Linked DNA regions of Macaca fascicularis. The protein of the gene in region 2 interacts with the protein of the main gene of each other region in a pairwise test. Links are inferred from orthologs where the notes say so. Each region holds a gene or a part of one and is shown on either strand. Other genes may lie near its edges.

Region 1 (3,817 bases), on a different chromosome or scaffold from region 2:
TTGCTTCTGTCATAGTTGCTACCAGATGAGATGGTATTCTTCCCTTGAGATCCTTAACATTTTATTTTTAGGTTATAAAACATACAAACCTTTTAGAAATTCTCAAGATTACATTTATTTTACTAATAATACTAAGTCAACTCCTCTTAGTGCCTTTAAAAAAGTCTTAGTTATTATAGTTATTATTATACCTTTAAATTTAAATGATTTTAGAATGGTCTCATTAACAATAGTTACAATTTGTATTCAAAAGATCACCACTTAAACATCAACGGATTGCCATTTGATTAGGAGATGAATAGCATAATTAGAAAACTTTTTTTGTTTTTTAATTAAACACAGATTTTTAATTTATTATTTTACTGGTTGACATAAGAGGTACCTATCATTAGGTTTTCTAATATATAAAGGCATATAAAGAGCTATTTGATAGGTATTTAATTCTAATAGAATTAATTACTAATAAGTGAAAAACACCTACAAGCACCAAAATGGAAGAAGTAGTTTAAAGAATCTAAAATGTGTTTCAATAATAGAGAAATATAAAAAGACGTCCTTTCCTATTTCTGCTGTAACAAATGGGGAAAAGAAGGCTCATAATCACTATTTCTTAAATAATATTGATAATAATAGTCAGATCATCATTATCTAATACAGATAACAGCTTAGTTTCCATAATCTAGTTTAATATTTTTATTTCATATCAGCAACTAAAACTCAGTTTAAAATAAATGTAAGTGAGAAAGGATTATTCTACTTGTCTTCATAGCAGTTGCCATAAAATATGGAGCCATACCAAAGGGAATAGACACAGGGATGACAAAGCGATGAAAAGCAGGTAAAACACTAATTTCTAACTACTTCAGCTTTGTTTCTAAAAAATGATGTCAATTGGTATATAATACTGGGGCAAGGGAGCAAAATTTTAATATGTTGGTTCTTCTCCTCAACCCCATGTTTTTTCCATTATAATAAACAAGATGATTTATAGTCTGGATGAATTAGCCTTATTCAGAAAATAGTCCTAAGAAAAACAAATCTACATTAAACTGCTTTCAGGTTTTACAAAAAAGTTTTCAGTATTTTTTGTTTATGCAAGAGAAGGCAATACACAAATTTATTAACAAAAAAAAATTTAAAAATTATGTTTTTTAAGAGACAGGGTCTCAGTCGGTTGTCTAGGTAAGAGTTGGCATGACCATAGCTCACTGTAACCTCAAACTCCTGAGCTGAAGTGGTCTATCCACCTCAGCCTCCTGAGAAGCTAGGACTGCAGGCATGTGCTACCACACCCAGCTAGTATTTTTACTTTTTGAAGAGATGGAGTCGCACTATGTTGCCCAGGCTGGTCTTGAACTTCTGGCCTCAAGCGATCCTCCTACCTTGGCCTCCCAAAGTGCTGGGATTATAGGCGCGAGCCACCATGCCCAGCCTTTTAAGAAATATTTCTTAAAAGCACATAGCCCTACAAAAATAATGTTGAATAGAACAGACTTACCTTTATATCCAAAATAAAATTTATTTTTCAATGTACAAATTAAAGTTTCTAAGAAACAGTGAGAGTTATAAATCAAACAGAAAATGATACATAACAAGCAAGAAATGGAAAAATAAGAAAAAGGAGAAAATGGCAATTAAAAAGATGAAACATTCAACATCATGTTAAAATGCCATTACTAGATACCTGTGATTTTTTACAAAAAAAATCTGAACACAGGATAATCAATCGTCTCTCTTTTCCATTTCAGGTCACATTTATAGAATGGATTACCTTGGAGTGCTGCTCTTTTAACTTCATTATTATACCCGGATCATCTTTTTTGCTAGCCATTAGCAATCTGAACATTTGTTCTCGATACTTGCTCATTATAAGTTCCAAGGCCGACTGATGTTCTTCCAGAGATGTACGCAATTCTATCAAGAATAATATTGTACTTTATTCCAACTTGAGTTAAAAGTACATAAAATTTTCCACTAAGCAACTTATGAATAGGACATTTTAAAAAGAAAACACAATGCACAAAAATCTAGCCATATAACAATAAGAGACACCAAATGAAGTCCCTTATTAGATTTCTGAATGAGCATTTTAACCTTATTTTTTGAGAATCATTTCAACAAAGATGTACTAAACAGCAATTAAATACCAGCCCAGGCTCTCTCTATATTAATACCAAAGGGCCACAGACCTCAAGAGTCTAGCAGAGAAAACAAGCATGTGGTTGGTGCAGAGTGGAGTGTCAGTCAAATAGATTTAAGAGATATCTGTGGGAAAAAATTGGTGGAAGCTTTGTAAAAGTACAGTGTGAGTTCCCTCAGTTGAAAAGTGAAGGAATGGACCTTCTAAGCAGGGAGGCATGAAAACAGATGATGTGTTTAGGAAGTGATTTGTGTTGGCAAGAGCAAAGGGTTCACGGTGAAGAAAGCTGTGGGAATAAGATTAAAAAAAAAAAAAAGGCTGGGAATTGATTTTTAGGGTCCCTGTAAAAGGTAATACATATACAATGAAAGTTCTTAGGCAAAAGAATTACATGATCAGGGCTGGGCACAGTGGCTCACGCCTGTAATCCCAGCACTTTGAGAGGTTGAGGCGGGCAGATAACAAGGTCAGGAGATTGAGACCATCCTGGCTAACACGGTGAAACCCCATCTCTACTAAAAATACAAAAAATTAGCCGGGCGTGGTGGCAGGCGCCTGTTGTACCAGCTACTTGGGAGGCTGAGGCAGGAGAATGGCATGACCCCAGGAGGCGGAGCTTGCAGTGAGCCGAGCTAGCACCACGGCACTCCAGCCTGGGTGAAAGAGCAAGACTCCGTCTCAAAAAAAAAAAAAAAAAAAAAAGAATTACACGATCAGATTGGTTTTTGAAATATCAATCTGATGGTCATATTGAAGACAGCTTGGACAGGAAGGGAGAAGAGAGACCGGAATCAGGGAGATAAGTTTGGACATTTCAGGCAAGAGACTGAGCATCTAATCTGGGGGCTAATGCAGTGGGACTGCAGAGAATGAAGCTGAGTTATTTCATAGCTAACAACAGCAGTGCTAACTGGATTATTGAGGATGAGAATCTAAGAGGATGTCAAGCAAGGCAGACGTTCAAATGTGGGACAGGATAAAGAGCAATAAATATGATTCAGGAATACAGACTAGAAACGGGATTAATGTCAAAAAGTAACGTATCTTGCCTTTGTTTTCTTGTTGCAATTCTCTGATTTGTCTGTTTTCTTGCTGGATTCCCATAACTAACGTGGACCGTGGCCGATGTCTTGCGACTTCATTAAGTTCTTGAATTTCTTCCTGATACTAATGGGGAAAAAACATGCAGGATGAAAATATCTGCAAATATATATATCTGATATATAAATACAAATATATCTGAAATATACATATAAACAAATATCTGGTAAGAGCTTAGTATCCAGAATGTATAAAGAACTCTTACAACTCAACAATAAAATGAAAATAACCCCATTTTTAAAAGTGGCAAAGGATTTGAATAAACATTTATCTAAAGAAGATATACAAATGGCCAATAAGCACATGACAAGATGTTTAATTAAAATAACTAGTCATTAGGAGAATGCAATTCAATATATCCCACTAGGATGATTATAATGAAAAAGACAATAACAATTGTTGGAGAGGATGTGAAGAAATTGCATGCAACCTTCCATACATTGTTGATGGAATGTAAAATGATGTAGCTCAGAGGTGTCCAATCTTTTGGCTTCCCTGGGCACACTGGAAGAAGAATTGTCAGGCCGCACATAAAATACACTAACACTAACGATAGCTGATGACCTTTTTTTAAAA
Region 2 (4,292 bases):
CCTGAATGCACATCAACAGAGAAATGGATAAATGAATTATGTTATATTTATTTTATTTATTTATTTTTGAGCTGGAGTCTCGCTCTGTCCCAGGCTGAAGTGCAGTGTGGTGCAATCTCCACTCACTGCAACCTCCACCTCCTGGGTTCAAATGATTCTCCTGCCTCACCCTCCTGAGTAGCTGGGATTCCAGGTGTGCACCACCATGCCTGGCTAATTTTTGTATTTTTTAGTAGATACAGGGCTTCAACATGTTGGCCAGGTTGGTTTCCAACTCCTGACCTCAGGTGGTCCACGCCCCCCACCTTGGCCTCCCAAAGTGCTGGGATTACAGGCATGAGCCACCACGCCTGGCCGGTATATTTATTAATCGAATACTACACAGCAGTAACAGTGAACTAACTGTGGCTACAAGCAATAATGTGGATAAATTTTACAGGCATAATTTGAGGAAAAAGAAACTAGACATGATAGAGAATATGCTATATGGTTCTATTTATATGAGGCTCAACAACAGGCACAATTCGTGTACAAGCGATATAGCAGTTTACTTTCTGGGGGAGGGAGGAGATAACTGGAGGAGGCTGGGCTGGGGGCAGAGGTGCATCTGAGGTTCTGAGAATGTTCCAGAGCAGGCTTTCTCCACCTTGGCACTACTGACATTTTGTTGGGGAGACTGTCCTGGGCACTGTGACATTTCCGGCCTCTACCCACTAGTGCCAGTACCGCAATGTCCACCCCACCCAGCACCACCACCACCACCTCATTTTGGAAATAAAAATGTCTCCAGACATCGCTAAATGTCCCCTCAGGTGGAAGAGGTACAAAATTCCCCTGGTTGCCCTGTTTTATTTTGGGTCGTGGGGGAATTAGGGGTGTGGGTTCATTTATGGAAATTCCTTGAGCTATACACCTATGATTCATCAACTTTTCTGTACACATATTAAGCTTTTAAAGTTTTTAAAATAAAAAAACAAGTCAACGAATGACTGAAAGAACCAGTAAGTTTTCCAGCAGAGACAATAGATAAAGTGGGATTTAATGTCTTGTTTGCAGACAAGGAGACTGGGATCCAGGGTGGGTCAGGGCAGGGGGCCAGCAGGATCCAGGAGGGAACTCATTCTCTGACTTCTCCTCCCACTTCCTTCCCCCACGCTCTCACGCGTTCTTGCTCCCAAACACTAGACAAGTCCCTGTAGAGGCTGATCCCATGCAGGGGCTCAGTTGGACCTTTAGCCTCGAACCCCATGGAGGAAACAGTTAGGATTGGTGGACGCTGCACCCAGCATCCTGCAAACAGAATTCTGAAAACCGGTATCTCATGCAAACAGGATATCAACTTTTGTCAGAAAGATCAAAAAGGGCTTGAGGTTTTTCTTCACAGCCTCAGCCTTGCCTCTCCCCCTCTTGCTTTATCTCCTCATTTCTGTGTGCAGGCGAGCTTCTTGGCCCACAGGCAGGAAGAGATGGCAGCCGGGGAGACGCAGCTCTACGCCAAGGTCTCCAACAAGCTCAAGGGCCGCAGCACCCCCTTGCTCCTGGAGCCCCTCCTGGCCATGGGCTTCCCGGTGCACACCGCGTGAGTACTGCCCAGAGACCCCGGGGCCCAGCCAGCGGGGCTGGAGCCAGACCCTGCTGCAGCCCCTCACATGGAGCTGCAGGGGTGGAGGGCACGGCTTCCTGCCAAAGCAGTGCACCTTGCAGGGTGAGACACTGCCTCTGCACAGGGCCCTCCTCTGCTTTTCGTAAATGAGATGATCTTGACCAAGCTTGTCCAAACCACGTGTGGCCCAGGACAGCTTGGAATGCTGCCCAACACAAATTGGTAAACTTTCTTAAAACATTATGAGTTTTGTTTTGTTTTGTTTTTTTAGCTCATCAGCTATTATTAGTGTTAGTGTGTGTGTGTATTATCAGTGTTAGTTTATGTGTGGCCGAGGGAGGCAAAAGAATACCTCTGATATTCTTGACCTTTTAAAGACCTGCTCTGCTGGCTGAATGGGAGACCCTGAAATGTGTGAAAATCAGAAGCCATGTATTACTCCGGGTGCTCCATTTTGGGGGTCTGGAGGAGCTTGGGGCCTGGTTGTAACCTCTTTGTGTGCAGCTCAGTGACTCTGAAGGTAGCATTTCAAGACATTCAAACTCTAACGTGAAAGGCCCCAAAGCCCGCTGCGTCTCTACCACCAGGACCACCTGTCAGCAGGGCTGTGCTTCCACGCTGCCCAGGGAAAGTCACTTGTCCTCAGGGAGAATCCCCTGAGTGTCTGATAACGAAACAAATGGGTAGGAGACTAGACACAGCGTGAGCGTGACCCTGCTGACCCAAGGGAAAGGCCTGCATGTGGAAGAGCTTAGCCCTCGGAGTTACCACTCTCGGAGAGGGAGGACATGATACCAACATTGGGTTACAGCTTTCATGGCAAACCAGTGCCCTAGATCCGACCCATTCATTTTTTCACATGGAAAAATGTATCAGAAACACACTTTTGGTAACTTTGGGTTGGGGAAGGAGCTAAACTTTCCTTCCACACTATAACGAAAGCTTGGCCAAATTGGGTGAAGTAACTTTGAAGCTAGATAAACCCCTTTCTTCTCCCCAAGTCAGTGCTTTGTCATCACTGTTATGTTCGAGCTAAGTCGGGGGGCTTTGAATGGGGAGTGGGGTCAGGCGTGTGCAGGGCGGCCACCAGGCACCGTCCAGGCAGCACAGACAAGGCAGGTTTCGTCCACTGCTTGCCACCCAGTGCAGGCAGAACACTGGGCCCAGAGAGTGCATTAGTGGCAGGGGTGGGACTCGAACCAGGTCTCCATGCCTTTGAAGGAGTTCACGCTGGATTTTACTACTAAACCTGTAGCATGGACTCCTACTCAAAATTCCTTCCAGTTTAAACATTAAACACATGTTGGAGGAAGAGAAATGTGTATTAATTTTCCCACACCAGAGCACCTCAAAGTAAGGGCCCTGCACCAAGGCTGCCCTGTTCAAACCTCTCCAGGTGGCCACAGCCCCATCGGTACCCACCCAAATAGCAGCACTGGGCATCACGTGGTGGGCTCCTCATGGATGCCCGCCGTTTCCAGTATGCATTCCTGATAAATTACCTTAGCTATATTCCATTCTGTTTCATCTGGTCCAGTTCTACCCAATTCAATGGAATGTACGTACGTCCCAGGTTACCGTGATGAATAAGACTCAGCCCTGCGTTCAGGGAGCTTTGGTCTAGCAGGGGAGAGCCGTGGACGCAAGGGGACTGTGCGAGCCGTGACAAGTGCCTGCCTGGGTGCTTTGGGAAGGGCTGTTTCCCAGCGGGGGAGAGGTGTGGGAGGCGAGCCTGGGGATCGGGCCGTTTTGCTAAGTGATGCTGGGGCGAAGGAAGCGTTTGTCAGGGAAGCGTGTGTCCCAGGTGGGGGCACTTTCCACAAGGTGGGTCCATTTGCTCTAGGCAGTGGGGAGGGGCAGGCCAGGGAATGGGATTGCAGGAGCAGGCGGAGGTCAGGTCCTCAGCACTGAGACCCTGTGCCAAGGGCTGAAGCAGGTAGGCAGGGAAGGAAAGTGGTGGGGAGGTGTGAGCTGGTCAGCATTGTCCAAAACCACAATGGCAGCACTCAGGGGACAGGCGCCTGGGCACGCGCCAGCTGGAAGTTCAGCATCAGGCCCTCTTCAGAGCACATCCCAAAGATCCTGGGTGTGCAAGGCTACACCAGCCCTCTCTGACCCTTTTCCCAAGAATGGGCGACATGACTCTGTGCCTGTGTCCGCTCTTCTGCAGGCTGAAAGCATTGGCAGCCACGGGGAGGAAGACGGCGGAGGAAGCCTTGGTCTGGTGAGTACAGCTGCTCCTGTAGACCTGGGGGTGTTTGGACTGACTGCCCTGTGCTCGAGGGCTCCCTCCCACCAGGGTGGACACCAGGAAAAGCCGGGAGCCTCTGGGTGGGATGGGAACTCTGCGGAAGTAAAACAAAATAATCTCCCTGCCTATCCACAGTGCACTGAGGGAGCGGCACAGGGCTTTGGTTAACCATGGAAAGAGATGGAGAGAACTTTTAACAAGGCTTTTTTCACTTACAAATCTGATTCAATCCAATTTGACTGCCAAGAAGTACAGGTTCATGTGCTTTGTTGAGTAAATGGGGAAGACATGATTGTTGTGTTGTGATAAGCACATAAATTAGGGTAATTGTTAGAATAAAGTAAATAATTAGGGTAAAAATGGTAACATCTGGGTTATATATTAGTACTGCTAATATTCAACCTATATGAGTAATTGAAGAGTAGGCTAGGATTTTGC

Evidence for each region.
Region 1: the proteins of UBASH3A (region 2) and FGFR1OP2 interact in binary tests that used the Homo sapiens proteins (3 or more experiments, as listed by UniProt). The link is inferred for Macaca fascicularis from reciprocal best matches to the Homo sapiens genes UBASH3A and FGFR1OP2.

What each region holds. Positions count from the first base shown.
Region 1 is NC_088385.1:29,706,244-29,710,060, reverse strand, and holds part of FGFR1OP2 (FGFR1 oncogene partner 2), read right to left. Parts: intron 3,308-3,817; coding exon 3,190-3,307; intron 1,915-3,189; coding exon 1,772-1,914; intron 1-1,771. UniProt on the Homo sapiens protein: May be involved in wound healing pathway.
Region 2 is NC_088377.1:4,618,506-4,622,797, reverse strand, and holds the start of UBASH3A (ubiquitin-associated and SH3 domain-containing protein A), read left to right. Parts: upstream 1-1,452; 5' UTR 1,453-1,466; coding exon 1,467-1,579; exon of another isoform or gene 1,580-1,754; coding exon of another isoform or gene 1,755-1,825; intron 1,826-3,773; coding exon 3,774-3,827; intron 3,828-4,292. UniProt on the Homo sapiens protein: Interferes with CBL-mediated down-regulation and degradation of receptor-type tyrosine kinases. Promotes accumulation of activated target receptors, such as T-cell receptors, EGFR and PDGFRB, on the cell surface.